3 linked regions of the Drosophila melanogaster genome follow. The protein of the gene in region 2 interacts with the protein of the main gene of each other region in a biochemical or structural test. Each region holds a gene or a part of one and is shown on either strand. Other genes may lie near its edges.

The links.
Region 1: the proteins of orb (region 2) and BicC form a complex in vitro, tested with the Drosophila melanogaster proteins (one study listed by BioGRID).
Region 3: the proteins of orb (region 2) and bru1 form a complex in vitro, tested with the Drosophila melanogaster proteins (one study listed by BioGRID).

The regions. Positions count from the first base shown.
Region 1 is NT_033779.5:16,038,238-16,050,910, forward strand, and holds BicC (bicaudal C), read left to right. Parts: upstream 1-3,809; 5' UTR 3,810-4,290; intron 4,291-4,679; exon of another isoform or gene 4,680-4,837; 5' UTR 4,838-4,849; coding exon of another isoform or gene 4,850-4,984; 5' UTR 4,985-5,008; intron 5,009-5,586; 5' UTR 5,587-5,817; coding exon 5,818-6,124; intron 6,125-6,185; coding exon 6,186-6,235; intron 6,236-6,314; exon of another isoform or gene 6,315-6,550; coding exon 6,551-6,620; intron 6,621-6,683; coding exon 6,684-6,763; intron 6,764-6,828; coding exon 6,829-7,155; intron 7,156-7,603; coding exon 7,604-7,729; intron 7,730-7,789; coding exon 7,790-8,171; intron 8,172-8,364; coding exon 8,365-9,492; intron 9,493-9,720; coding exon 9,721-9,968; 3' UTR 9,969-10,389; downstream 10,390-12,673. Other genes in the region: beat-Ic (beaten path Ic), read left to right, coding at 638-1,293; CG45084 (uncharacterized protein), read left to right, coding at 4,850-4,984. UniProt on the Drosophila melanogaster protein: RNA-binding protein that is involved in oogenesis. Required for correct targeting of the migrating anterior follicle cells and the establishment of anterior-posterior polarity in the oocyte. May act as translational repressor of oskar during oogenesis.
Region 2 is NT_033777.3:23,273,120-23,282,765, reverse strand, and holds the start of orb (oo18 RNA-binding protein), read left to right. Parts: upstream 1-1,909; 5' UTR 1,910-2,335; intron 2,336-3,207; 5' UTR 3,208-3,689; coding exon 3,690-3,707; intron 3,708-9,646. Other genes in the region: Cdc16 (cell division cycle 16), read right to left, coding at 1-82, 152-409, 469-751, 806-1,316, 1,380-1,475.
Region 3 is NT_033779.5:12,201,932-12,211,540, forward strand, and holds the start of bru1 (bruno 1), read left to right. Parts: upstream 1-3,911; 5' UTR 3,912-4,199; intron 4,200-5,777; exon of another isoform or gene 5,778-6,284; coding exon of another isoform or gene 6,285-7,979; exon of another isoform or gene 7,980-8,179; intron 8,180-9,609. Other genes in the region: CG31759 (uncharacterized protein), read left to right, coding at 6,285-7,979.

The sequences.
Region 1 (12,673 bases), on a different chromosome or scaffold from region 2:
GAGCTGAAAATTGTATTTAAAATTGAGTTCACTGGCTTACCGATGAAAGCAGCTGGGAAATGGAAACGGCGGAATTCCAGTGAAATATCAACGTATGCGACAATATTTTGGCCATAGCGCCCAAGGGAAGCCCTCAAAACGGAAGTTTGCAAGCCACCCTCGTTATTAAGCAAAAGGAATGGGGAGATTGCATGTTCCGATTCCTTGCTTGCATTCCGCTCTGAACTTTATGCAAATGCACTGTTGACACACCCACTCGCACAGAAGAACTTGTCTGGTTGAATATCTTTTGGTAGGAAACTGCATTTTCTACCTTATTTCCCCCAGCCAAAATTGGTTACAAGAGAAACCTTATTTTGGAATGCACATGATGAAAACTTAGCTAAATTCTTACAATTTTTACTAAGCCTTATACGTAAAAGGTATAAAGGGGGTCAATAGGTAAATGTACGATTATTGGCTTATAAATTATTAAAGAAGCCTGACAGACATTGACTTTTCCAAAAATCGAACAGGACATTGCGTTGTTTAGTTTTCACAAAGGCATCAAAGGGGGAAAATTTGAAGCCCCTTTAATGGCAATGTCCCTTCTTTTTACCTCCACCCAATGCTCACCTGTGCATCTCTCTATTTCCAGCGGATAACACGGCATCGGGCGCCTCGACAGCTGCACACGAAATCTTCTGGCAGTTCTGGCCATCGCAGCTCACAAAGCTCCCCATCAACAGGCAGTTGGCGGGGGCGTGGCACTGGCTATGTGGGGGCGGTGGAGCGGCTGCTCTTCTCCTTTTTTTCCTGCTGCAGCAAGGGCCGCTGGGCCATCAAATTATCAACTGTCAATACACTAAGCCGGCGACTGGCAAGGTGCAACAGCAACAACGCAACAGCGGCAGCAGCAGCAACATCGAGGTGACAGCTTCAAAAGCGGCAACATCTAGCGCATCTAGCGTCAAATGCTTTTATAATTGTCAAATGGCTATGGCGATGCCAACTCGAAGTCGTGATGATGATGATGACGGTGGTGATGCGTATATTGGCAGCACGAGTGCAAATGCAACGGCAACAGCGACAGCAACTGCCGATGCTGATGCTGCAGATGTTGCTGCTGCAGGAGGAGTTGCGAGTTGCAGCATTAAGCGGCTGTCAGCGACACTTGTGGGGGGCGTCAATGCTGTAAGGGGCGTGGCCAGTGGGCCGGATCAACGATTATTGATGACTCGGCGGCGAGAAAGGCGGCAAAAGAAATCGCAGGCGATGGATGCGATGATGCAGTCGCGTTGGAGCGCGTGCTGATGCCGAATTGATGATGAAATCCATTTTCGAAAGTAGCTTAAGGTGCTCGCCACCGTGCAAAATAGCCAGTATATGGCTCTTTTCCTTTCGCACCCGAATTGTTGAAGGGCATAATTAATATACATTCGTACTCATACTGATTGCATCAGCCAGCTGCATAAATCGATCTGGTCGTAGCTCTTAAGTGTTGAACGCATAAGGTCAGGGAAAGTGCAGTATATATTTAATTATTGGCAGAGCAAAGTCAGCAAGTAGATATTAAACCGATGAATAATAACAGGAAATGAATTAATCTTAGGTAAAATACAACATACGGTGAAACCATTAAATAAAAAGATACCCTGTACGCCGCTATCTCTCAAATCTGTTTTCGGCCTACTCACATTTTCGCAACAGAATTAAACGGAAATATATTGTGCTGTAAAACAGATCACCAATCAATCACATTACTTCCATTAACTATGTGAAACTGTTCTGTTCACTGTTAAAATTAAATATCTATTTGTCATATTTATTATTTTGTAAAAATAGTAACACATTTTATTTTCAGCTAGACACACTTTTCAGACAATAATATCAACTCAATAAGCATATATGAATGCTACAGCAAGGTATTTTCACTTTTTATTCCCGATACTTTCGAACAGATCTTTACTGTAAAAAATAAAAGATCACAATAAGCCACGACAAATGGCTCTCAGTGAAGAGAACATTAAGAGATGCGGAAAGTCAAACCAAAAATGCACAGTTGCCTGGGCACTGGGCACGTACAGGGTGAGAAAATGCGTGTGCTCAGTCACTGAAAATCAAAATGTACTTAGAATAAATACTATGTACTTCAAACTCTTATGTTATATATCAAGCGTTAAATATATTCAAATAAAAAATCAAAAAGTTATAGGAATTGTGCACAGTGTACAGCAAGCTGAACTTTAGACTGCACTTGAGCTTAGCTTTCGGGTACCGTAGTGCATTTTAAAGTGGGGTTTTGACAGCTTCAAAATTGTAAACAACCGAATATAATTTAAGTCAATACTAATACCCGTTACTTTTAGAGTAAAAGAGTGTTCTAGATTAGTGGAATCGTTTGTAACATTATAAGGTATTCATCTGAGTAACGGGTATCTTATAGTCGAGAGAATCGACTATAACTTTATTTTGTTTGTTTTCTCCTTTCAGAATGAAGAAGACATTATGTCAATGTGTAAATAAAAGCTTAAAACCAAGCACAAAATTAATATTTTGTAACATCCACTGTACAGAAAGGAACTTTTTACGGTTGTGGAAATGAAAAGCAAAATTAATTATTATAGCAAGCGTTTATTTGTAGAAAACAACGAATACATAGAGCAAATTAAAACGAAAAAGAATCTTTATTTTCAAGTCTTGTTTCGGCAATATTAAAACTCGATGAAAGCAAAAGAATTATTTGAACATTTTTGGCCAACAAAAATCCAGCGGTAAATAGTTCCTTTACCTTAAACACAATTCAATGTATGCAATGGGTAATCGTAGCCCAAAAACAAATGAAAATGTATATTAAAAAAAAATAACAATAATAAAAAATAAATGTTGAATAATTTATAAATTCAGTACATATATTTAAAGTGTAAATAAAATGATAAAACGTAATAATAAAACTTATGAAATATAAATTAATTGGTGTACATGCAAAAACAAGTAATACAAATAGATAATTATATAATAATAAACTGCATGCCGCCAGATTTTTGTAATCAAATCGTGTTGTGAAAGTTGTCTTCCCTAATTTATGCCCATTACATTAAAACATTGACAGGGGATTTTAATTTTAATTTCAGTATGGTTTCAATTATGGCCAATATATATAATAAACTATAACCATATGTATAAGAATGTAAAAAGCTAGTTTTATGTACATAAAAATGGGACAAACATTTTGATGTTACTGAATAAATATTAAAAGTATTAACCAAGAAATATGAAAGTAGGATAAAAAAACAGTGAATGTTTCCAGCTGCTAGGAAAAACGATAAGTCTTAGATCTATAAAGAGAATCAAAAACGCGGTCAAATGCATAGCACATAATATATTCATATCCCCAATAAATAACCCGAAATGTGTAAAGCCAGAATAAATGTAATAATAAGATTGAAGAAAACAAAATAGTGATGTAAAATAGCAGCAAGGAAATAAAGTAACCCCTATTCAATAACTATTGCTGACGTCTTTTACTCGTACATGTCATCATTTAATTACGTAATTTAAGTTTGGTTTATTTAAAGTTTGATTTCCGGTTGTACAAGGGTGAGCGTACTTTTAAAACCCACTGTATATAAATACTTTGGTAAAGTGCAGGTTGGGGAGTTTCAGAAGCTTGAAAAGCTCCGTTTCCCGTTATAAAGCTATTGCTGAATATCCGTTATCCAGTTGGCTGGCAGCTTTTTAAGGTTGTTCGTGCACTGGCTTCACTCCCCACAGAACACAGAGCTTTTGGATCTGAAGGTCAGTTGGGACTGGGACCCACATGCCGAGCTTAGTTTGATAGTCAGCGCGCTTTAATGACGACAACTGCACGGCGCGCACAACCCATTAATAATATATTAATTCAAAAGAGCTATAAAATATTAAAAAATATTCAAATATAACTAACTAACGCGCAGTGCACGATTTTCTGACAACAATTCAGTTTCGCTTTTCATGAGACTCCATTGCATTTTCCTTTGTGTTTTTCACACACGTGGTGTTTTTCTGTTACTCGCACTTCGATAGTGGTTATTTTTTTTGGTTACATTGAAAAAATACACCGACTGCCAGCCGAATTCCCATTCGAACCTTAATTTGACCAATTGACGGAAAATTAATTGCGCCCAAAATTAATTAGCAAGCGGATATACAATTTTTTTACGTGAAAAGAGCGTGTTATTTGTCGAAAAGATTTTACAATTGATTGTGTTTAAGTAAATTAACCTGCGATATCTATGTGTATGTGCTACGATCCGAATTTCTGACATTACGGTAAGTGGCGTGTTTTTGGCGGGAATAAAGTCGGTTTCTCTTTGTGCCGTATTTCTCTACCGTTTTTTCTGGCGCCAAAATGAATGAAAACGGTTGGCAACATTTCAAACTTAACATTGCAACATTCTAACCGCTGTTAAGCGTTTGCTCTGCAAATTGTTGTAGCTATGTTGGAGTTCTGGAACACCACCTCTCCCTGCGACTTTGTTTTGTTTTTCGCTCTCGACATATGGAATCGAATCTCTTATTCCGGGAGCGGTTCATTGACCCAGCAACAACAATATTCGCCAGATTTTCTCCTGCCAGCGATTTGCGGAATTCATCCGCTCAACAGTTAGAAGTAAATGCCGTCGAGCAGCGGGCAAAATCGATCGACGAAATCGAGAGCCGCGTTCAGTTGCCTTCAAGCCGTACTTAGAAGAAGTGCTGGTCCCCCAGAAATCAGAGAGATTTTTCCCAACTTGCATTTTTCCAATACTCTGACAAAGCCCCTCAGACCGTCGCAATCACACAGCTATATACTGATATATAGATCTCTATTGCGCAGATCACACCTTAAATGCCTTTCGTCGAGAGATTTCAACAAATACGTAATTTTGTTATGAACGTCTGCCTCGTCGAGGCCATCCAATTCGTCCAGGACCTCTCGCACGCCATCTGTCTGGACCTCCAGGGCCTATTTAATCTCAAGTAGAGATCACCGAGCGATCTCCCAGCGGTAAGTTACGCCATTGGTTTTTGGGCACAAGGAAGTGAAAGTGAAGACACGGGTGAAATTACGGTTTTCGGGATCTCGAGAGAAAGGGGAAAGTACGAACCTCATGGCAGCAGCACTCCATTTTGAGAGGTTATGTGAAAGAACACACAAGAAAGTTTGGAATTTTCGACAGGCGGCGAACCAATAATAATGTTGTTATCCATAATAATATTAATTAGTGAATTTTTATTTCACCTTTTCGCGGCATTATTCTCACAAATTTATAAGACAGATTTTCAAATTAAGACAGAAAGTTTTTTAATGTTAGTGAAAAGTACTTATTCCAGTTGATAGTTAAATACTATTTACCGCAAAAAATTAAAAGAGAACTAAATTTAAAGGTAAAATCGTTTTTTTTTTTGGAAAGTGCATTGCTTAAATTATGGTACCGACTATCAAAATAAAAATAATTAATTTTTATATGGTGTTTCAATATTCACTTTAAATTACCTATGACTCGCTTTCTAACCACTCTCTTCTTATTACGAACATCAATTTTCTTGTTACATCATTTCGGACCTTTCATTTTTCATCACCAGCTCATCCCATCAATTCAGATACACTTTACTTCATTAAGTAGCAGCAATCATCTAACAAAGCTGACCAAACAACGGACCGGCTTCCAGAATCCTTAACTGAGACGGACGTTTTGCTTGGTTTTTAAAACTAAACGACTTTTTGGTACCCACACCTGTTGACCTCTGACGAATTTCTCGATCCACTGACCGATCCACTGATCCAGTGATCATCATCATCATCCGAATTCCACAATGTTGTCCTGTGCCTCTTTCAATAAACTGATGTATCCGTCGGCCGCAGATGTTGCCAAACCGCCAATGGTGGGCTTGGAGGTGGAAGCTGGATCCATTGGATCCCTGTCCAGTCTTCACGCCCTTCCATCGACCACCTCGGTGGGCAGTGGAGCCCCCAGCGAGACGCAGAGCGAGATCTCCTCCGTGGATAGCGATTGGAGTGACATACGCGCCATCGCCATGAAGTTGGGCGTTCAAAACCCAGACGATCTCCACACGGAACGTTTCAAGGTGGATCGACAGAAATTGGAACAGTTAATAAAAGGTAATGCCTTTATATATAAAAATAATAGATTCCTTATTATACATTGCCTTTTTTCTGATAGCGGAGAGCTCCATTGAGGGAATGAATGGAGCTGAATATTTTTTCCATGACGTGAGTACATATTTTTAAGTTTTGGGCACCTATTAGCTTCACACTTTCTTTTGTCTCATTTTGAGACACAGAATGCCATGCCTTATAAATATTGAACATATAATAATATGTTTCCTATTCAATAGTATATTAAGTTATTTAGTTTTTGAGCAAAATTTTTAAGTTAATTGATTCATGTCTTTGTTTGGCAATCTGACTTTGCATCTATAAAATTTCAGTGTATAACCCAATTTGTTTTAAGATACTGTTAGGACCGACTCTTTTGACTTGATATAAAAGAATTCGCCATATATCCAAAACATATTCTTTTACTAGATCATGAACACTACGGATACTTATGTGAGCTGGCCTTGCAGACTCAAAATTGGTGCCAAGAGCAAGAAGGGTAGGATATTGAAATATTTTCAATGTTCAAGAGTATTTTTCAAATAAATCCCATAATTTAAAGATCCCCATGTGCGAATTGTGGGAAAGGTGGATCAGGTTCAGCGGGCAAAGGAGCGCATCCTTAGCAGTCTTGACTCCAGGGTGAGTGAGCCAAAGCATAATACAAACTTATCTGTTTTAATTGTTACCCATTTTTCTCCGAACAGGGCACTCGAGTGATCATGAAAATGGACGTCAGCTACACGGATCACTCGTACATCATCGGACGAGGTGGCAACAACATCAAGCGCATAATGGACGACACGCATACCCATATCCACTTCCCCGACTCGAATCGCTCCAATCCCACGGAGAAATCCAACCAGGTGTCGCTGTGCGGCAGCCTAGAGGGCGTGGAGCGAGCCCGGGCTCTCGTTCGGCTCTCCACACCGCTGCTCATCTCCTTCGAGATGCCCGTAATGGGACCCAACAAGCCGCAGCCCGACCACGAGACTCCCTACATCAAGATGATCGAGACCAAGTTCAATGTTCAGGTGAGTTCCAGATGTCGGAGTCAACTAAGTGTAAGATTATAAATTAATTATAAATTAATCATGGCATGTTACCAAATATTATTTGCATTTGACTATAATGGCTTGATTAGTTTAACTAATTTAGGTAAGATTTTGTAATATACATTCATACATACATTTAAGAGGGGGTATAGAAAATGTCAAATTTTTTTTTCCCAACCCTTGAGAGTTGTGATTATATATTGCTCCATTATAATTTTATCAACTGATGTTACATTAGGCTAATTTTGCAGTTGTGTTATTATTATATATTTTTAAGTGATTTAGAACGCATTTAAAGTAATAAAGTTACTTAAACGTTATTTTCGAATTTGGCAACCTTAAATTACAACCAAGGATTTTTGTAAACAGTTTTTTCGTTGCTCTTAATTATTATTGAATATATTTTAAAGATTTTTCCTCCTTTCAGGTCATATTCTCCACGCGTCCAAAATTGCATACCTCGCTGGTTTTGGTCAAGGGATCCGAGAAGGAATCGGCGCAGGTCCGAGATGCCACGCAGCTGCTGATCAACTTCGCCTGTGAGAGTATTGCGGTAGGTTCGAGAAGGATAACTCAAAATAAGGCTCATCAGCGAATCCTTTTTCCTTTTTAGAGCCAAATCCTGGTGAATGTCCAGATGGAGATCTCGCCGCAGCATCACGAAATCGTCAAGGGCAAGAACAACGTGAATCTGCTGAGCATTATGGAGCGAACCCAGACCAAGATCATATTCCCCGATCTGAGCGACATGAACGTGAAGCCCCTGAAGAAGTCCCAGGTCACGATCAGCGGACGCATCGACGACGTCTACTTGGCGCGACAACAATTGCTTGGCAATTTGCCCGTAGCATTGATTTTTGACTTTCCGGACAACCACAACGATGCATCCGAAATAATGAGCCTCAACACCAAGTACGGCGTCTACATCACGTTGCGCCAGAAACAGCGGCAGAGCACCCTGGCCATTGTGGTCAAGGGAGTGGAGAAGTTTATAGGTAAGATCTCTAAAGCAATGTGTAAAGTGTATGATTTTCGTTGATTCTGCATTAATATACGATTGCACTTTCCATTATTGTTTGATTTTTATCCCATATTTTCCTTACTTTTTAGATATATTATACAATTTAAGATATTTAGCAAGTGCTGAATTAAATTTCCGTATTAATCCGTTGTTGTCACCCTCCTTAGACAAAATCTACGAGGCCCGCCAGGAGATCCTGCGCCTGGCCACGCCATTCGTGAAGCCCGAGATCCCCGACTACTACTTCATGCCAAAGGACAAAGACCTTAATCTCGCCTACCGCACCCAGTTAACTGCTCTGCTGGCTGGGTATGTGGACAGCCCGAAGACTCCATCGCTGCTGCCGCCCTCCTTGGCTGGCCAACTGACGCCCTATGCCAACAACAATCACCTGTTGTTGAACGCCAATGGCTTGGCCACGCCCACTGGGGTGTGTGCGCCCACCCAAAAATATATGCAGTTGCACAACAGCTTCCAACAGGCTCAGAATCGTTCCATGGTGGCTGGTGGGCAGAGCAACAATGGCAACTATCTGCAGGTTCCTGGAGCGGTGGCGCCGCCTCTCAAACCGCCGACTGTTTCGCCACGGAACAGCTGCAGTCAGAATACCAGTGGTTACCAGAGCTTTAGCAGCAGCACCACCTCCCTGGAGCAGTCGTATCCGCCGTATGCCCAATTGCCGGGCACCGTGTCGTCCACTTCATCCTCCACCGCGGGAAGCCAAAATCGGGCGCATTATTCGCCAGATTCCACTTACGGCAGTGAGGGTGGTGGCGTTGGCGGCGGAGGTGGTGGTGGGGCGCGTCTGGGACGACGCCTTAGCGATGGAGTGCTGCTGGGGCTGAGTAATTCCAACGGTGGAGGAGGTAACTCCGGAGGAGCCCACCTCCTGCCCGGCAGTGCCGAGAGCTATCGGAGTTTGCACTATGACCTTGGAGGAAACAAGCACTCCGGCCACCGTGCCTTTGACTTCGACATGAAACGGGCCCTGGGCTACAAAGCCATGGAGCGCACCCCGGTGGCAGGGGAGCTGCGAACACCCACGACCGCTTGGATGGGAATGGGCTTGAGCAGCACCTCGCCCGCCCCTGCCCCGCTGGAGAACGGGGAAAATGGGGCTGCTGGTGGAGGAGCATCTAGTGGGTGGCGGCTGCCACCAGGACTGGGTTCCCCTTACGGACTGAGTGCCACCACCGGACTCCTGGACGCCACTCCAGTCAACCGACGGATGCAGCTAGCCAAGCACAAGGACATCCAGACTCTGCTCACCAGTTTGGGTCTGGAGCACTACATCAGTGAGTAGCTCCGCCGATCATGTCCGTTTTTACCAACTGTGTACTAGAAGTCTTTTATAAAGCTATCATATATGTCTGGCTTGAACTGGAGAGTGTTTTATTTAACGCAAACGTTTTTTCACAGTCATAGATAAAGTTACATAAAGTTCAACATCCATATAGCATTTAAAATCAAACTATTTTATATTTACAACCTGGGAAAACTACAGTTTTTATTTCTCCTTTCAGAAATATTCGTTCTAAACGAAATCGACCTGGAGGTGTTCACCACCCTGACCGAGGAAAACCTGATGGAGCTGGGTATCGCGGCGTTTGGAGCTCGCAAGAAGCTGCTGACGGCCATTCACACGCTGCTGGCCAACGAGGCGGCCTGCAGCACAATGCCCAGCAGCAGCTCCTCGCAGAACTCCTCGTCGCCGCGATTCTCCGGAAGTGCGGCCCCAGGCGCAGAGCGCCGTCCCTCCAACCAGTGGTGATCCGCTCCTGTCGTTCGACCCCATTGCCTCGAATTCTTTTTTTCTTTTTTTTTTTGCATGCCCATTTATTTGGTAGTCGTAAGATCAAGAGAATCGGAACGGTAAAAAGTATAGGAAGAAGTCAGGAAGAAAATGGCAACTCCCTGGGCGAATAGCTTTCCCGCACAACACAGCCTTGACCTTGACTTATACTCGCATTTGTACTCAAATTCCAAGTAGCATAGCTGCGCTCGGGAAAGTGCACAGTTTTCCCAGTGTGCCAATAGGTCGTAGTTGCCTTTATTTTAAGCGATTAATTTATTTTGAAATTATTTATATAGGAAACCGTCTTAAGCAAAAAAAAAAAATATTGTGAATTATTTATGAAATCTAACTAAACGAAATCACTTGTTGTAAGAAATGAATTTATGTAAACTAACTGAAAAAGAAAAAAAAATTAAAAACAAAAGCACAGCATGTATTAAGTGATAAGCAAAATAGTCACGCACAAACATTTGATATGAATAAATTGATGTCTATGAAAAATCAACTAAATATATTTTTTAGTAGATTATTAGATTAATATGATTTGCTTAATTTTGTAGAAACATTTGTAATATATGTACATTAAGTCGTTGCCGCTTTGAACTCTTTTAGCCTGGTTGGAATAGAGGTTAATGACTTTATTGTCTCCAGTTGTCTGCATAATTTGTATTGCCTCGCCTCGTGCCAAGAAGTCTTGCAAAGCAACAAAATCGAATGTGTGTCCTTACACGAACTAAACGGGCGGCAAAAGGGGCGTGGCTGAGCTAATGAACTGGAAATGTTTTGCTCCAGTTGCCGGTGGTTGCTACCGTGTTGCATCAGCATAATTGCAAATTTTTATGATTATGACACTTTGGGCGCAAAGTGCCTTTGCCAATGGCAACTAATTTCTGCAGCCATCTCAGTCCCAGTCTGGTGGTCATCTACATGGGGCTATGCTCCACTTAAGTACTTCGAGTGGGCTTTTGCGGGACATTTTGGCAAGCGGCTTGATTTACAATTATGCTGGATTTGAATTTGGATCCCAAGTGGAGTCACTGACCAGCCCGAGAGTCGCCAGTTTCGGCCTCCATTCGTCAATGCTGGTCCCATTTTAAGTAGAGGAAGTGTTGTGTAATGGGAGGACATAGTTAAGTGGCCATAAGTATAATTTGAGTATGTGTTTCCTCGGCCTTTCAAAAACAGTAGGAAAATATATATATTTTTATAAATTTCTTTCGAAAGAAGTTGAAAATTGAATTAACCACGTTAAATTTACTTTCCATATACTTTTTCCGTACACTCAGACAGGAAGAAGTATTTCTAAAATATATGCTTATTTAAGCATACTTACCTTCCGAAGTCTTGTAATTAAACTCTAACATGTATTTAAAAAATTTAAAGTAAATTTAAAATTTAAAAATTTATTAAATTTAAAAATAATGTTACAATTGGTTTTTTTATATTGTACACAGTAAGTTGCCGTTTAAAGTGGCAGTCGTGGTGAGTACAATCAAGCAGTCAAAACGAAGCAGTTCTCTTAGGCAAAGCAGTGGGAAGGGGAAATCAAGCAGTGGAAGGGGAACCAAGCAGAGTTAGCAATAGAAGCATTTATGGATAAGAAACCCACCACACGGGTGCTCTCTCTCTCTCTCTCCTCGCTTTTCCATTCGTGATTTTCCGATGAAGGACGTCGGATTCTCCGAACCATCTTCGTTGGCCATTCGCCAATTGGGAAATCTGTGCACAGGACTCGCAGTGTCGCGAATCCTTCGACTCCTGCTGCAGTTTACATTGCGTTGTCCGTGCGTAAGGACGTGCGTAGATCATCATTTCAATTTTCGCAGTATTACGAGCATCGGAAATAACAGAAAAAATTGTTTAAAAAAAAATGGTTGAACTGCACTGAAACCGCAGGACTGAACCCAATTTTTGCTGTGGCGTGCGTGTGTGCGAGATGCAGTTTTTGTGTTTCTGACATAGCATTTACCAAAACAGAAGGCGGAAAATAGGGAAAAGGATCCGACGAAGGATCTGCGATAGTCCCAAACTGTGTGTGTGTGGGTAAGGCTGTTGCTTCGTCGCCACCAGTGCATGTGTGTGTGTGAGTGCGAGTGTGTTTGTGCAGTCACGTGTTCTAAGGTGATTTTAACGAGCTCCGTGATACGCGAAATGAGATAAGGAACGAGGAAGCAGCAGAATCGGGAGGAGTGAACGGCTTAGGCGGGCACAAAAAGGAGCAACAAGAAGCCACGCAGCCAAAGCCAACAACCAAATCCCCATTCGCCAGGACAGGATACTTGCTCGGTGCGCCTTAAAGGATTCTCTGATAAATCAACCGAAAATTGCATAAAATAAAATTGTTTGCCAAATTGTGCGCAGCGAGAGAACCAAAAAGCAAAAAAAACAAAACCTTATACTCACATGTGAAATATGACTAGCCAGTTGCATTGAAAGTACAAGAAAATAATAAGAGAGAAAATTTACCCAAATAACCTGAAGGTAGGAATACATTATAATCTCTTTGACACAAATTGATGCTTTGGGATATGATGTCAGGAAGGGTATTGGGATATGATTACGAATATTTAGACTCGTATACTAGAAACGCACAAGAGCGTATGTTATTTAAAAGAAAAACAGTTTTTTAACATTTGAAATTTGAAAAACTAATATTTTAATTTTGCTTCACAACAGAGTTG
Region 2 (9,646 bases):
CCGATTAAAGTCGCCGTTTTCCACCAGACAGGCAATCTGAATGGTCAGTGCAGTGTTATGAAAGGGATCCACCTTAAGGAGTCTATATATGATAAGCAAAACCAAATACATTTTTGATCAATATAAGTCTTTTACGCCGTTCTTCACTTACTCATTGAGTATTTTCAGGCACTGTTTGTAGTCGCAGTCGTAGAAACACTTCTCCGCCTCAGCGGCCATTAGGTCAGTACTACGTTGTACCCGATCAAGACATTCAGCGATAGGAATTAATGTGTCCGTGTCATGATCACGCGATCGCCTCCTACTGGATGAGTCAAACATGGACCGGTGAGAAGCATCAATGAGGGAAGAAGCCTTTGAGAGACTAGTTTGTAGGGAAAATGTGGGCGCCTTTAGATCTTCCAGGACTCTTAAAGATACAACTTCAATAAGAATGCGCTAAATATTAGAAATATCAGGAGAACTGACTTCTGTGCGGGCGACATGAACTGGCTGGGCGTAAGCGGCACCTTGACGGCGCTCACCTTGGGCATTTGTGTGTCTGACGACCCGCTCTGCTGCACTCGAGCTGTAAATTCCTTGATAAACTGGAGTATGTCAGGATTAACAATGGGGGACATCTCCTCAGCATTGCGTGCGGAAATCAACTCGTAGTACTTCTTCAGGCGAGATTCATAAAGTTTTAGTATAAACTTGGCATCAGCTTCGCTGGATTGTTGTGCCAGCGGTAAATGATGCATTAGCTCAAACTCTGCAATGATTAAGTTGAGATTATACTGTATTCAGAAAGTAGGTGCATGCTCACCTTCCCAAGCCATCAGCATTTCGTGTTGAACCAGCGCCTCCAGGGCCTCAAAGCAGTATATGGATTTGTGAAGGGCCTGAACATAGAAGTCCATTGCCATGCCGCGATTGTCCAGGGCCTCATAAACTTTGCCCTTCATTAGGTAAATGGATGAGAGCAGTTCATTTCTGTGATTCTCCTCGCCACCAAAGACACTGTTGCTTTCCAGATAGCAGCCACTGCTTGCATCAACGGGCTGGTTGATCAGCGATGTGGTCATGACTTCCACCTCCACATTCTGGATGACATTGGCCGCCTCGGTAAACTCCTTGGCCGCATAGAGACTTTCCAGTAGTAGGTTAAAACATGGCAGTGAATTCTTCTCTAGCTTGTGATGCTGTATTGTGTGAGCAGCACGATGGTATTCCCCCAGTAGGTACATGCACTGCGCCTGGTAGTAAATATCCCTGGGTTCCAGGCCACCAAGCACGGCCACCTTTTCTGCCCAAAAAAGCGCTGTGGAGTAGCGACGCTAAAAATGCAATTGAATTTGCACTCAGGCTCTGCTTGCCGGCTTTTGGTTTTTTTGTCTTACCATGTCTATGAATTGTTTGACCAGCTGCCGGTACAAGGCCAGGTCGATGTGTTCATTGGTGGTGTCAGTGCTTGTGTTTTCCGTGTCCCCGGGCATTTTTATTAACGCAGAATTGTATTTTTGTTATAAATTTGATACAAGTTTTCCGCCGCTGGTAATAACTCATTTGAACATAGTGGCAACTCTGTGCAAAACAGCTGTATTGTTGCCATTCACTGGAAACAGTTGTTTACGCCAGTGAAAAAAATTTGGTTGCTGTTAATGCTTTACCAATAAGTAATAAAATTAATGGAAATATAAAAATTATTTTAAAACCAAAACTTTAAATGAAAATACAAATTAAATAAATTATTTAAATAGTTCAGCCATTTGTGCGAATTTTAATGACTGTTTCTTTTTTTGTCGAGGAATCGTCGAACACAAGTTGTTTCAAACAAATGAGCGCTTTTAAGTTCAAGAGAGCGGTTGCATGCGGTTGGTTCGACAGAGCCAGGCGAAAAAGGTTATTTAAGCAGCGTTGCACGCCGTGGCGTGGCCATAATATCAAAAAATCCCGACTAAAATTCCAAAATAAAAGATATCACGGGATGATAATTTAGTTTGTTCTATTAATTTGTATTGCCGCGGCAGGGTCCGCTCAAATTTAAGGCTCAATTTTAAATTCGAGTTAATGTGGTGCCATACCACAGTCGCAAAGATTTTCAACAATCAAAATAGTTTAATAGTAAAAAATGCGTCCGTGAGTGAGTAGTTTGGCGAAACAGCATCGGAAGGAGAAACGGAAAACGGCGAAGGGCGTGCAAAGCAGAAGTAACGGTTCCTGGCGGCGTGTGTGCGAGTGTGTGTAAAAATGTGCTTGGTGGACGACAAAAGAAACGGGATGCGATTGCAAGTGCGGAATTAAAATAAAATTCACACGAATTTATGCGCCATCCGCGTGTTTTTGCGAGTCCTGGGTATGTATTGGTGTATCAGTGTTAGCCGGCACTAGAAATTGTTGACCGAAAAATGGTGCAGTTCAAATTAGTTGGTAACAAGAAGGTGAAGAAAAACAGGGCAGCGGCTCATTTTTCGTTCTCTCATTCTCGACGTGCGTATTTTACAACTTTACAACTACACACTACTATTATGTGCCGTTGGTCCTGTTTTTTTTTCTGTTGCCTTTGGCTCACGTCATCTCTCCAAAAACTACGGCAATCAATCGCCGCCTTGGCCACACAGAGGAAATGAAGCTGGAATTGCGCGGGGTCTTAATTCGTTAATAAAATGTAAGGTGTGCACAATAATAGATTTTTGGATTGTCCGGTATCAATTGAAAAGAAATATGAATAACAGTGCAATTCATGAAAGTATAGCAATTTTTCTTTCTGTGTGCACACTTATTCTTACTACCCATTATTCTACGCACAGAGCGCGAGAGTGAGATGGAGAGAGTAGAGAAAGGGCGAGACAGGGCTTGGCCCCATCTCCATCTCCATTTTACAACTCCAACTTCGCTGCCACTGCTCATTTCATGCTGATTTATGGCTCTAATAATAGGTTCGCTCAACACACAGCTTCCGAAAGGATTACCACCCGAAAGGATAATGCATAGTTTGTGTTATTGGCGGCCATAAAAGCCCCCTTTAAAGTAAACGACCCTGGATTACAGTTAATTACAGTTAGCCGGGACAGTGTCATAGAGAGTAGGAGAGAGAGGGATACGCCTTGATCGATTTACGGCATTTAACGCTCAAGTGCGTACGCGTGTGTTTTCTTTAAACTCCACTGATTTGGAAACTACAAAGAAGAGTACTCTTATAATTAATTCATGCTTATGATATTTCAGGCCTTTGGAAATTTGCATCGTTGACGAGGCGGAATGAATCGATGACTATTTGCTGCTGATACGGCCACATCTGCCAGCTGTCTTGGTTCGCCTTCGCCCCTCTCGCTCGCTCAGTCGCGTTATCCTGTGGAGCTCCAATAAACAACAACAAAAACCAGATTCCTTGCCCGAGGCTCGGCATCCAATTCAAACTCCAACCAGATCCAACACGAACTTGGACTCGAACCGCAGCGAACTCCAACCGAAAGGCCTGCGCAGGAGTGAAAGAGAGAGGGCGAGAGAGACGGTGCGCGAACGGGCTCTCCGCCGGCAGTGGGAGTGGGAAAGGGAAGGTACGAGAGGCGGAAGTGGTGACATCTGTTTTGCCGCTTTGTCAGTTGGCGGATGCTGCTCCTGCCGAACACGAACGAACGCGAACGAGCACGAACGAACAAGGAGCGCAACGTGAACAAGTGTGGAAATTGGAATTTTTATTCAAAACAATGCCCCTGCTGCAACAGGTATGTAAATAATAATAAAACCCATTCGCACTCCAGAGCGGTAATTGAAACGCTCACGTACGAATAAAGTCGGCTAGAGAGAAAGAGGGAGAGAGAGAACGACCGAGCGAGTGAGAGAGCTCTACATCAGCTGGCTTTTTCAGTTCATCTTCCCAATTGGGATTCGTGAGTGGCTGGCCCGGGATGATCCTAATAAGATTAGTGCCCAACTTTACGCCTACACTTCTGAGAGTTTTTCAAACCACCCCACCACCCACTGAAACAGCCCCATCCGCCAACGTCTGTTGCACATTATGAGTAGTTAAATTCGATTAAACTTGCGGCGTTTTCTGCGCCAGACACCACTGCGCCTCCTTTTCGTCCTTTTTGCCGCCGGGTGGGCTTTTAATTGTACTCTTTGTTGCGCAAAATAGTTGCGTGATTTAATTTTGCTCGCCTTTATATGTTTTTTAATTCACTTAAATGAGATGATTCGATTAGGACACTGAGCGGTACAGAAAAAGCGCAGAGAGCAAATGGAAGCATTGGAATAGCGGATAAAAAACAGAGCTAAAGTTGTTGGGCACGCTTTACAACTGCCATTAGTATCCAGATTTTTATGTCTTTAAAGATTCGTAAAAGTTTGTCTAATAATCTTAAAACTCCAGTGACAGTACAAGCAGACAGCTATTAGCCTCTTATGGCTCAAAATATTACATGTCCCTTCCTGAGTTTTTCTTTATCCTCTGGAAAATTAATTATCCTGCCTGACAATCCGCTTCATATCAATACACATCAAAATTATGTCAGTTGCGGCAATTGCCCTTCACCCCCAAATGTGAATTACATGTAATGATTACAATATCCTTTATGCTGATACGCACATGCTAACCAACCCGACGACTCGGCTCATGCCCCCGCCGACCCCAGACTTGATTTAAGCGATCCTAAAGCGACTGTCAATATGTGTGACAGGTTTTTTAAGACGCTTTCCCTCCTCGGCGGAGCACTTGGTCCCATTGTTGGCTACGCGGCCCGTTTGTATCCTTGCCACGTCTTCCGCCTTTGGAAAAAGTTGCTCATTGTCGACTGTGACAGGAGACCCGGACCCGTCTATTGCTCATCATTCAGGCATTTGACGACAGACGACGCACAGGGGTTGAGGAAAAGCCGCCTTGACTACGTCAATGGATTGGGGATGGCTTTCAAAGAGGCGGAGATGGAAACAGAGGTGGAGGATGAAGGATGGAGGTTGGTTCTGTGCTGCATCCATGGCCCGAGTTGGCTGACAATGGAGCTGCGCATTTGTTACAATGTTTACACAAATATTTAAGGATAATCCGACGATTTCAAAGGGGTTATTATGCAATTTTTCTTCTCATTTTATTGTGGCTGCCAGCGGCGGCAGCAAAATGGTAGAAAAAAAAGATCAAAATATAGACCCAACTGAATAACTAAATGCAAAATGTCAATTTCGTCGTGTAAGCAGTGTCTATACCCCCCCCCCCCTTCCCTTGCCGTATTGCTATACATTCATATTTATTTGCTGGTAATGTCTAAAATGCGTCTACTTCTTGCCAACGTGGCGTGTTCTTAATGTCCTGCTTTCCGTATTATTTATATTTTTTGCACTCATTTCCATTGCGGCATTGCCTGCTGTTTAAAATGCCTATAAATAATGGTGGGGGCCACAGCGGAAAATTTGTCGGTCATAAGAAATGCTGTACATTTTATTTGCCATTTTAAGCCGTAGGATGTGTGATGTCATGCTCTGCAAAAGTCCATATCCTGCTGTAACATCGTTTCGTACAAAATTTTCCTTTATTGTCCTTGCACCAACGTCTTGGTTCACTGTCCAAGTGCAGGTCAGTCCATATCAATGACACCGGGATTTTGTGTAGCAATATGTCTGGCATTAAAACTTGCCAACATTACTGTATTGTGCATAATTAATCATAGAACCTTACTATTAAATTAGATCTATGCTCGTGGGGGTAAACTATGCTTAAAGCAAACTAAACTATCTGCTTTACCTGTTGATTACACACGCCCATAAATATTACACTAATAGTATAATTAAGTGAATGCTTGGCCGTTTTCCCTAAACGACTGCCTGCAATTGCCAGTTATTAGCCGGCTCAAATTTGATTGCCAGCGGGCAAATCATTGGCATTATTCAAACCCAAACTCGAGTGAATGCTCAAGAGAGGGCGGCAATCATTTCGAGCAAATCATTGTGCTGGGCGATGGTGTGGCATTAACAGTTGGTTATGTACACTTAAGTATATGCCGCAGGCCAACTTGGTATGTCCAGGCCGCCATAGCCTGCCATTTTCACTCCCACTACCCAATAGTACGGCTCCAGCTTCTGGTTCTGGTTCTGATCCTTGGCAGACTATTGGAATGTCTCGACATTTCGCGCAAATGCCAAAAGTACAAGGCGGCCAAGGCGTCCTCCAACAATGCGGTGGCAGCAGCCCCAGGGCACATCATTAAAATGTCGATACCAAGCAAATCACACGCCCGCCGCCAGCGAGAAGGATAACAACCAAGAAAATATCAACCAGGGTGCGTTGCGTTTGTTGCACTGCCGCGTTTTGTGGATTGGGTAGTGGTGCTTGGTATTAGGGCGTAGCCCATTGCAATATGAGCCTGTGGCATTTAACAAAAATGAGAAAGGAATAATACAAAAAAAAAAAATAAATAAAAGAAGAGTGCGGAAAATGGGAGAAAAAATGGAAAACTGAAAACAGAAAACGAGTGCAAAATTCAATTGAATTTACTTCGCCAGACGTTGCACACACTACTGGGCTCAACTAGCATTTAATGCATTGGCAGTGGTGCGGCATGCGTGATTGTGATGCGGCACCGCCGACACCGCCCATCGTCCGACGACACCCACTCACCCCTTTGTGACCCCCTGAACTCCGGCTGATGCACACCATTATTGTGGTTGAGCGGATGACGAAAGGTGGCCTGGTCGAGAGGGTATCAGGCCTTTTGGCCAATGGAATGAGCCCGAGGATGCGTGATGAGGGGACAGAAGGGGCTGGTGGGTTGGCGGTGGCGGTGGCATACACACACAATGCTGTTGCGTTATCATTAAAAGCGAACCAAAATGCGGCAAAAGAAAATAGAAGCAAACAGCAATGAGCAACAGCAACATCCAGTCGGAGCACCAACAACACCAGCAACAAGCAACAATAAAAGGCAAACCACAAAAGGGCAGCATCCAGTTGGAGTCGCCTCTTGTTTTCTATATCCTCGCAAAGGTTCCCAGCGCAACTCTGTGCAGCGTTTTTGAAACGTCCGTGATGGAGCAGTTTTGTCCTTGCGAACTGCAGGCTACAGATAATCTCTGTCGTCAAAACTTGTCATGAAATAAGGATCTAGTCTACGGGACATGTATGAAACTCTCAAAAAATATTAAAATGAAACCATTACATCAGGTTTCAGCATAAAATACTTTTAAATAGGTACTTTGTATAAAATTCTGTTTAGAATGACTAGGACTTGTTGAATTAATGTATTAATCAGTTAAAGCGTAGCATACTTAGAAGGGCATGATGAAGAAATATGAACTAATCAAAATTATATTTTTAATGCTAAGGCATCAGACATTCGAGATGATTACTCGGCAGTTTTGAAACTGTATTGTATTTCTGTTTTTTAAATAGGCCCGGAAAAGTTGTACCTTTTCGCCTCGTCGTGGGCTGCCTAAAAAATGTGCAGCATGCACCCCTCGTTGGTGGCTGCTTCTGCTGCTGCTTGCACTACCACCTTCATTTGGTTGGAGCTGGAGGAGAGCACCACCATCACCAGAAACAGATCCACAGATCCAGCGGCAGTAGCAGTGGCAGATAATACAGTGCGGAAAAAGCGCGTGTTTTATTTCCACTTAGCACTCATACAAACGTGCATGTATTGAAGGCCTGTTGACGGCTGCTTGGCCCACCATTCCGCCTCCTATGGAGCCACCGCCTGGCCGCCAGCCCACTCCTCACCCATCCACTGGCGCCCCAGAGAAACAATAACAACGGCAACAATGCTCCGAGAATCGGAAATGTTGCCGTTGAAACTGAAATGTCGCTACGCTTCTCTCGTTTGTTCGCCGAACGGAGGAGGGGCTGGCTACGCCCATGTAAAGGCTGGTGCTGTCAGTGACTTGCCTGAATTACGATATTGTTATTATTAAATGGATGGGCTGCATGCGAAAGGAAACTGCAACTGCGACTGACTCCGCTGAAAGGAGGATGAAGTGTTGGTGGTGCTGGTGGCAATGGAGGTGGTGTAGATCCTGCTGCCTGCGAAGACGTCTGCATGCGCTTTGATAGTTGAATTCTGATCCAGAAAGGCATTTAATGTCTTGTTTTCATATTGCACAAAACAGAGGACACAAAAACAAGCAGGCAAGCAAGCATCCATGGAAGGCATGCAGTTATGTAAATATGATGGCGACACATCGCGTAGTCAAAGCTGATGAAATGGCACTCCTCGACATGCTCAAAACTCAATTTAATTTGCCCAGCCATTGGCATTTAATGAAATGCACAGCACAGCACAGCTCAGCTCAGTACAACACAAAACAACACAAACAAGGCAGCATCTGCAGTAGGAGTTAAAGGAGGTGGATGAGGACGAGGAAGTGGATGGGGTTCAGGATGCTGGATATGTAGGCGCAGCAATTACGTGCCACTATATCGGAAACCAACGCCAGGCTCTGCTTGCTGTCCTGCAGGCATTTGCATCTTATCGAATCCTTGTGCCATTCACAACTCCGCCGGCCTGCGGACAAAGTTCGAAGTCAAAGAGGTCTCGACTCCGGTGAATGCTTTTTAATTTGCAAACATTAAACGCTTTAGTTATACGCCGCCACGGCATTCTTGGTGAATCCACTTTGCTGAACTTTTACTACAGGTATATAACGAATAAAACTTATAAACATTAGCACAGGTGAATGGTGCGCAGTGCTACCGGATATTCCTATATCTTAGATCCTCAGTTTCTGAACTGTAAGTTAAGATCTTAAGGTCTTTTAATTGATAGTGAATTGAAAGTATTGCTTTCAAGTTAATTTTTATTAAAAAACTAGCAGCATGGCACTGACTTTGGACTGTCCTCGTAATTTGCCAATTGTTTTTTGGGCGAAATAAAAACTTTGTCGTAAATTGAGTTGCATTTACATGATTTCCCCCTTGGCAGTCGGCAATCGTTTTGCAGCCACGACAGCAGCTTATAGATCAGAGCTCCATAAATTGTGCATCCCGAATCCTTTCAGGGGATTTAAGCACTCGCCACGTAATATGCAAACACTCTATTACCGCTGGCAAATTCAAATGCATTCGGCCATAACTCTTATCCTTTATGGACTTGCCAACGTCGCTGTTCCCGCTGCCCGCCTTGCGAATCCGTTTTCGCCCACAAGTTGGCAACATGTAATCGGCCATAAAAAATTACAACTGTGCATTAACCTCTGGCTGCGGTCACTGGGAGCGGGAAACGGGCGGTGGGCAAAGGGAAATCGAAACGAAACGAATCGAATGAAGTGGCCCTTGTGGAAAGGAGAGTCAGCGGGCAACGGAAAGCATGGAAAGGGACAGGAAGGGCAATGGCGTCGACAAGGACAACGTCGTTATTGAACGCTTATCACTACATGCCATCAAATTTTAATGCCGAAAACCCCTTTGGGCCGGAGCACAGCACGAGAAGCATTGGAAAAGGATGGCAAACAGGAGCAGGACATCTAATAAGTGTTGTAAGCGATGCAAACATAATAATTTGTATGACTTCTGAAAGCAGAAACATGTAATTTTACAGAGGCTCTGGCCCCGGAAACGCTTTCAAACCCACTTCTCCCGTCCGTCGACCACCATTGCCACATCATGTGTATGAGTGTATCCGCTAAAATGCAGGCCAGGCCCAGGACAAAATCCCAGCCAGACCGAAAAGCAGCAGAGGCA
Region 3 (9,609 bases), on a different chromosome or scaffold from region 2:
TATAAATCAGCGAATATACATACATACGTACACAAAAGTCTATAAATGTGCTTATAAATGCAATAAATCTTTGTTGCTTGGGTTATCTGTTTTCGCCTATTTGTTGTTATTCATGTTGATGCTGTGGTTTTTATTTGCTGTCGATGTGCCAATAAAGGTTTCCTTATCCTTGTGTTTACTTTTTTATGGCATTATAATTGATTAAAACGTTGTTATGTGCATATCAGCTTTCCTCGAGTGACAGATTAATTTCACAAGTTTTTATTCAATTCATCGATACATGTTTTTTTTTGTTCCGCAAATATATAAATAAATAATAAAGTTCACATGCGAATTTATAGATTTGTTTGGTTTATTTGTGGCGTTAATTTTTTGCAATCAGGATTATCATCTGGTTGAAACAATATAAATAATTGTACTCGCAATTTCGATATTTGAATACACTGGTACTCTGGCATTTTATATACGGAAATCCCACTACAAATCAATTGACAAATCCCGGAACTTAGAGCCATTCAATTAGCCGTAATTAGACGGAAGTTGCCGCTCTGCCACTGAGCATCACTTGTTGCATGAATAATGGCTGCCAATAATAATGCCGTTAACAAGGGAAGGCATGCGTCCAAATGGAGCTATCGGAAAGGATTCTTCCTGCTCCAGCTCCAGCAGTTCTGTTTGCTTTGACAAATACAAGTTGCCTCCTGGAGCCATAATAATATTATTTATGGTCCTCCAGAGGACATCGCCGAACAGAAGCGAGTAGCTGAGGAGCCGAGAATCGATGAAAGTGGCTGACAATTTATAGATGTTTCATTATAATGGTAACGAAAAGGGGGCGTGGTGCTGCAGTGCTTCGCACATAAAGTTCAATGTTTGTGGGGGCAGATAAAAAAGAAGCTTAAAGATTCTTTTTTATTCGCTCGCTAGCAACCTTTTTGCAATGGGTCCTTTAGTGTTCTTAACATTGTTTTTTCTTTGTGTGAATTGTGATTGTTTTGTATGTATTTTTTTTATTGTTTTTACTTGCTTGACTGTGTGTAATATGTTGAAAATGTGGATTCCTAGTTCTTTCATTTTTTTTTCCTAACGCATGTCAAACATGAAAAGCAGCTTGTTTACGCTTTTCGTATACGATTCCTCCAGCTTTCAACATATGCTTCACTTATGTTCCAAGCCATTTGTTCGATATTTACAAAATAAAGCAGCTCTGACAAAACAAATTTATATTGATGACGATGCCTGCGAGTGATGTATGCAAATGGCTGTATTTAAATGGCTGTATCTTAAACATTATGCCTTTACAGCTGGCCAGTCCATTTACCTTAATCAAATTAGCTAACTTAGAGTAAACTTTTAGGACCTGAAATTAGTTTGGTAACAACCCTTTTGGGCTAAGTTAACAGGTGAGTAAGCTCAGGTATTAAATGGAGATGGCATTAACGTAGTAGACTTCACTTGCAGATGTCTTGAATGCTATTCAAAGGAATAAGTTATTTGTTCTCCAACCCAATTTATTTTATTTTCTATATTAAGAAGCTTTTAAATGTCATTGGGTTATATTACTAGAATAAAGTTTTTAAAATAGAATACAATTCGCTAGATCTTAAAAAAACGTTCCTGTTAGGGCTTTGTGGCCTAATTGTGACAATGAATACATATAATTTAAAAAATATATTTATAATCTTTAGTATGTTGTTTATTTAATGTGCCTAAATATCATGGAATTTTGAGTATCTTAATGCATAATTGACCAGCAAATATGAGTACTTAATGTTTAATGATAATGTATTTGTTAATTTGTCTTCAGAAAATACGTTCGTATGGGCTTCTTGCATTTGCAATGCCCCTATTTTAGTAACATTTTGCTCAGAATTCTGTGTGCAAAAGACAACAATGAGCAACGAGCTTTGCTTTTCAGTTTATCAGTTTTTCCCTACAATTACCATGGTTATCCTTGACAATTATTTCCGCACAGAAAACTTTCTAAATGCACTGGATCCCCTGTAATAATTGCCTAGCCCAAAAGACCCAACAAAAATACACAGCCTTGGTGGTGCCACCTTAATTGCAGGCGTCTTTCTCTAACCAAGTCAACTTTCCTCCAACCAGCACTCAGCACTCACTTATTATTAAGTTGTTTTCGAAACTAGGAAGAGGAAAAACCGGCGGGCGGAAATGGAGGAATGGAGAAAAGGAGGAGCTCTCCCGGCAAAAGTTAAATTATAAAATCGTCAAAAGTTGACGAAGACATTTTGCGCCTATGAAAACAAATACACGAGGAAAGTGCTCCACTAAAAAATAGGAGGGAAATGCGGGAGCAGGAGCCACTTAAGATGCTTAGCGCCATGGCAAGCGAAAATAATGACGCTCATAAAAACTAACTAAACACCAAAATAAAGCAAATATATATAGGTATATATATATATACATATATTTGTTGGGCTGGCTTTTTTAAGCTGGAACGACGCTCTCTGAATGACAACGATAATGATGTGCGATAATGTTTGTTGTTTCTTCGTTTGCTTATTTATTGTACTTATTCGTTTATTGTACTTTTTCATCCCACAGTGCTGGAAACAATGATAATGATAATAATGAAGATGTTATTGTGTTTCTCCTCTTTGTTGTTGTGCAATCTAAGACAACTGTCAAAGACTTTGCCAAAGGATTAGTCGACTCGGCGCCTTTCGCCCTGCTATACCCTGTAAAAGTTGCGCTAAGGATATATTACACATGGAGTAATTTGGATCAAATATGGGTTACCAATTTTTTTTTTTAATTTTTAATTTTTTTTAATATCATGTTGCATTTACGATAAAGAAATTTGCAACTGAGAGATTTTTTTTTGATTAATGACAAAAGGACATTTCAAGAAAAGCCTTTTTGAAATCGATTTAAAATTTAATTCATTTGTAAATGGTACTATAAAGAAGTTTTAAGTTAGGGATATATTAGGATATTAGGGATATTATCATATTAGGGTTTTGGAAATTGAAATATGAGGAGAAAATATATAATATAATAATATATAAGTAACATAATCTTTATAAAATTTGTTAACGTTTATAGTAGTATTTATTTTGGAAATTTTAAATCTACAACCATATAGCAATGATTTCAAACAATTCATGTAAATATTCTTCGAAATATTCATGCAAATTTGAAAGAAAGACTCCATGTAATCATCAAAAAGTAGCTTCCTACATTTTCTATAAACAACACAATAAGATACGGGGTATTCTCGCAGTCGCAACGAGTTTGTGTATCTCGTGACTGGTGTCTTTGCTCCTTGCCATTACTTTCGACCTGCTCCTATCGCAGTCGTAATTAAAATTGCACCAGACGTAGTGAAGTTTTGTACTTTCTTCGGCATCAGATAGTCCTGGAAGCCTCCCCTTCAATTTAATCGCTTTGACTGCATGCTGGTTGTAATTTATTTATTGCCGAAAATCGTACCCTCTACTCTTGATTTGCCCCTGCCGCCGCTCGTTGTATTTTTTAATTGATTAGAAACTCGAGTTTTGTTTTCTTTCTTTGCCTTCAATTGGCATCGAGCCAGGAAATTTTCAGCCTCATTGAATTTCTTTCGGTTTTTTTTCCACTCACCCTCTTGACTTTCTTTCTCGACTCGCCAATTTTAGCAAATTACTTTCTTGGCAAAACTTTTATATTTGTTGATTCATTTATTGCTAATGTCAAACGTTCGACTTGGTGAGCTGAACGACTGATATGAATCAGTGATAGCAATCAATTATGGTATCCAATTCATTTGCTTTTTTTTAAATTTAATTTAGTTTTATTTTAGCAAAGTTCATAAAAAATAAAAAATGAACAGCGAGAGCTTTGCATCCCAGTTGGCTGCGCTAACGCTTGTCAAATCGATTCAATATAGATTTTTAGTTGTAGTGTTTCCAAATCAGATTGTGTAACGTACATATAATTTTATAAAAGTTTATCAATTTTTCGGCTTATTGGTGGCAAAATTCTCAATGTGTTAACCTTTCGGCCGTACCGCGTCACTCTTCCATGCTTTTATCAATAATTCTTAAGAAGAAAATCTACAAAAAAATATACAAAGTATTTACCCCCACAAGACTACAAATGAAATAGCCCAGTTATCCGCTTTCGGCTACAAATTCTACAAGTGTAAAAAGGAAAATAAGAAGAAATATAGCAAATTCCCGCAGCAAGTGAAATAGGTGAGTGCAAGAAAGTTCTTCAAGTGTTCAGACCAAAAGCGGATATTCTAGTTGTCCTTGAGTGTGAATGGAAAGTGGGTTGGTGTGCTGTGAACTCGTCCTGTGTGCTGTGTGTGTGTGAGTGGGTGTGTGCGACACGGTGCTTGGGCTTCCACGCTGCATGACAGATTATCGCAAGGACCTTGCCGTCCTTTGAGTGTCCTCGACGGTTATTGAAATTGCTGCAATTGAGTTCGGAGTGCTCGAAGCTATTTAATTGCTGCCGCCTGCCTCCAAGAACTTGCTTTTCACCACTTCTGTCGAAGATGAGCTAACTATTTTGCTGATTTTTGGTGGATTTTAATCTTTATATCTCAGAAATATACTATCGAATATAATCATCTATACTTAATTTCAATATAAATGCTGGTAAATTTTTGAAAAGTGTATATAATATTGCTTAAAAAATGTTCAATATGTAAAACTCTTAAATGACTTATAGTTAGTTTCTAGTCCTTGTTCCATCCACTGTGTCTAATCGAAGCTTTTTGGCCATCTCTGGTTCGGGTCAATAGGAAAGGAGTAGGGAACAGAAGGAGCAGCTAAAAGTCCTCTTCTTTTTCCCGCAGGTGTTGTAAGCCAGCAACGAGTCCTGGAACTGAGCCAAAGCTGCTTTCTCTCAAGTGCTAACTAATTTCGTTGTTGTCCTTACCGCCTCTGCTCCACATCTCGGGCCCAAGGATGCTCTCTGCATCCTCGGGCTTAGCCTCATTCCCTGGCTCATCCTCATCATCGGCGTCTTCCTGCAGTTTCGTTTTTGGTGTCAGCAACATTTCTTCAACTGGTTTCGTTTGCCCTGCCAGTCAGGTTGTTGTCCTTTTTGGTCCTCTGTGTCCTTTATAGAGTTCTATGCGATTTTTCTCTTGTTTTTGATTTTTATTTTTTCATTTGCTCCTTCGTAGTGCAATCTTTTTGGCAAACTCTTGTGTGGCGCACAGTTGTTGACTCTGTTTCGGGGCCAAGCCAATTCCTTTTTGGCCTGGCCAAGTCATCTCTTGGCTTGTTTCGGCGTTTTATGCACTTGTGTGCTCCATACCTTTGGTCCACCCCTTTGCCAAATACGCTCTACACATATGATCTGGCTTCTGTTTCGAATTTTTATGGCCGTCGTCTCAGTTGTCCTTTCTTAACTTGGCCGAAAGTTGAGTTTCCTTCGTTGGGGCAAGATGTCTCATTTGGATCGTAACACTTAGCTTAATGTTTACGACGTTTGCCGTGAAAATAGTTTTCAACTGAAGTGAAATAGGAGGTTTTATAGTTTTGTTCGGGTGTATATTTTGCGAATAATAATGTTCCTCCTAATGACCACAAAAAAGGAATAAACGTTTCCTATATAGAAATTTTTTTTCTATTTCATAGAAAAAATCTTCTATTCTTCGATATGTTCAATTTCAGATCATAGCAACTCTTCATATATTTATCAGCTTTATAATTTTATGAAAAAAAGTAATATTTAAGTGAAATCTTTTTGCTTTCAAGATTTGAAATTAAATAAAGCTTTTATTAAAAGCTTTTGCGTCAAAGCTTCAACGTTGCTAATGGCAGAAGCTCTCTCAAGATCAGCTGTTTCTCAATGCCGAGCATGTGGTTGGTTTCGTTGTGAATGCCAAAAACAACAGCTGATCGCGCGGCGTGGCAGAGCGAAAAAGTAAAAATCTCTCTTCGTTTTTATCGAAATCGGCGCAGTTTCGCCTAATTTCTGCGGTGTTTTCGTGCAACACGACTGTTTGCCGATTGTAAATAGGTGTAAAACAACTTAAATGTGATTAATTTTGCAACTAAATCTGGACAAGTGAGTTGTTACGACATCGGTGCACCAAGTAAAGTTGTCTAACCCAAAATTTTCCCAGATAAAACGGCGAAAAACAAGTCAACTAAGAGAAGTTCTCTTCTTCAACGCCGATCTTCGCTCCAACATTTGCAACATTGATGGGGTTTTTTTTGTTTAAAAACATAGTTCGCAATTCTGATAAATTATTCGGAAATAAAACTCCAACTAGAGTTTCGCTATTGTCCAGATTTTGTGGCACTTCCTTGGCTGGTAAAATGGAGAAGGTTTATTTGAGAAATGCAAGTGATACCAAAGAATTGGACATTGTGTTTCGCTTTGTGAATGAGAATTTGAAAATAAACCGGGAATTCAATTTCCGTCGCCAGATGAATGAGCCCATTGATGCGATATTGGCCAGGATTCAGAGTAATATTATTGGCAGGCTTGCAAAGTCCTGCAAAAAATCAAAAATCAAACCGCCGGCAGAAATCAATGTTAAACTTCTGAGTGACAAATATGGTGAAAAATTCAATGAATTAACATTTGAGGATCTAGTCGTCACCCAAGATATCAGCAATGTAAAACTGCAGGTATTAGATACGGTCTACGATTTGGTGTTCAATCCACCGTGGATTTCATCCCTAAAATTTTTGCCCTCATGCATATTGGCAGGATTTGTAATATACCCCACCAATGTTCAGATACAATTCGGAGAACGTCAGTTCAGCAAAGCAGTTTGGTTCAAGGCCAAAAAGCCCACAGACACCGATTGGGAGGTGTGCGGAGAAGGATTTCAATATCTAGTGACTCCTGAGGATATTGGTTACCATTTGAAGTTCGTGGTGACGCCGGGTAATGCACTGGGAATGACGGGTCCTGTGGTGGAGAAGATAACCAACTCTGCAGTGCAGGAATCTCCCGGGCGTTGTCCATTCCAAGATCGCCAAAGGCACACCACGAATTCTTTGAGCGAATCGAATGAAATTCGTGTGGTGTCTTACAATTTGTTGGCCGATTTATATGCCAGTAGTGACTATGCCGGTAGCACTCTGTTCTCCTATTGCCCGGCAAAGTATCTGCAAATAGACTATAGGAAGCCACTGTTCATCAACGAGATCATCGGTTATAACTCCGATATTCTCTGTCTACAAGAAGTCGATCAGCGAATATTTGATTTTGATTTAAAGGAAATTCTAGAACAACCGCCGTATAACTATCACGGCATAATGGCCCCGAAAGGCAAATGCGCTGAGGGAGTGGCAATTTTCTTTCGGAACTCGCGCTTCGATCTCTTGGATTCTCAAATCCTGCATTTGGGGTCCAATATTCCCGCACTGCCCGTATTTGAAAGCCTTTGGAATAAGATCAAAGTTAACGCACAATTAGCAGAACGAATCTGTGAACGGTCCACCACTCTGCAAACTTGTTTGCTTAGAATAAAGGGTACCGATAACTACGTTCTGGTGGCCAACACGCATTTATATTTCCATCCGGATGCAGATCACATTCGCCTGCTGCAAATGGGATTTTCCATGCTATTCGTAGAGCAATCTATTAGCAAAGCTATAAAGGACTTTAACATAAGTAGCCACAAAAACATTGGACTAATATTTTGTGGCGATTTCAATAGCGTTCCCGAGTGTGGAATCTACAAGCTGATGACGGAGCAGCTCGCCGAAAAAACACTGGAGGACTGGCAAAGTAATGCCGAGCAGGCGGTTTCGAATGTGGAACTCGCGCAGCCTTTCAAAATGGCATCAGCCTATGGGGCACCGGAATATACCCACTACACCACCCTCTTTGCGGGTTGCTTGGACTATGTGTTCTACCAAAACGATCGCTTCGAAGTTCTAAAGGTGGTGCCACTGCCAACGGAGGAGGAGTTGAAAGCCAATACTGCGATACCATCGGCTGTTTTTCCATCCGATCATGTTGCTCTTGTAGCAGATCTCAAATTTAAGTCAGATTGATAAATTTTTGGGCTTGCATATAAGAAAAATTAAGAATATCTCGGGGATTTCTCAGCATAAATAAATGTATACGTATGCCAAATACTATGCTTAAATGTAATAATACTCATTTCTTCTTTATATACAAAACAAAATTCGTTCAACAAATCCTGGCCTATTAACAAATGCTTCTTCTCCTTTATAAACTGTGGCATATAAACAAAAAAAAAGAAACTGCGTAGATTTAAAGTAAAACACGGAAAATAAACCGAAATAAATTGCGGAATGAAGTGACAACAAATTGAGTAAATCCCTGAGTGGCTTATAGCTCGCCTGCAAGCAGCTGGCTTTCCCGGCATCTGCTCCTGTTTTCCGGCTGATTGCAGGACGCAGAGCAATTAACGTGAAAATTCGCCAAGGAAAAACGCTCCGTTGCGGAGGTGGCGCCAACAACAATGGCGCGAAAAGCTGAAAGGAAATCCGAGAGCGAAAAAATATCCCAAGCCAACTGAAGTGATTTTCGCACTAATTAACTGCACTTAGTTGACACATACCAATCTATTCACACCGCCACTCCCACACAAAGTTGTCGTTGGCCATAATCAGAGCCAGTGCAGCATTTTAATTGGTTTCCACAGTGCTGCCAATATAAAGTCCCACATGTGCAATCGGAATTTTCCACAGAAATTATTAGAAAGCAAATGAAATGTGGCCCGATGTGCGGCGCACTCTCGTCGAAAATAATAGTACTCCTAACTTGATTTCTATGTGAAATGACTTTTGCTAAATACCATAAGATATTTTAAAAAATATTTTTAAAATATTTCAAAATCTCTAGAATACTATAAACTATTCTATGCCATAAATTCAATAAATATAGATGCATATTAAAGACTGCTATTCATTTTTCTTTGGCTGTATGTGTTCGTGTGGTGTGTTCTATAAGCCCTGCAACTCTATAATTACGTGGTACCGTGTTGACAACTAACTTCTTGCAGTGCGGGAAAATGGGAAAAGGGGAAGCTCAGCTTTCCACTCACTGTTTGGTTTGGTTTGCTTTAGCTCCTCATTTTCCTGCGCATATGAGGCATATTGTTATTGCACATCAAAGTGAATTCGCTTGATTTAGTTCTGATTTTTTCCATGGCAACATGTGTATGGCAAATTCAAAAGATTTTAATGAGTTGTGTGGGTATGGTTGAGTGGAAAGTAGTGAAGACTCGTATTTATTCATGTATTTCAATAGAAAGCCATTCCGAAGGACCTCTATTGCTTATTTCTTCTAATTGAAGTAATTTAACTAGCAATGCGTACATTATAAAAATCAACATTTATGTACAAACGGTAATCTTATTTACTTATTTATGTTACTCATTTAGTACATTGAGTTCATAAAAAATGACAGAAAATAACCACCAACCAAGGGTCATCGCCGGGACATTTTATTTACTTTGTTGATTAAGCTAAAATAGCATAACAGCAGGGATGGGATCATCCAAGTGGCAAAGTTACGAGGCAACTGCCGAGGACAAAGTCCTGCAAAAAAAAAAAAAAAAAAACAGAAAACAAGAAAAACCCCCGAAAAAAAAACCAACGAAGAAAAAGCAAACGAAAGCATACGGAAATGCCAGGAGCGTGGATTACATTAACG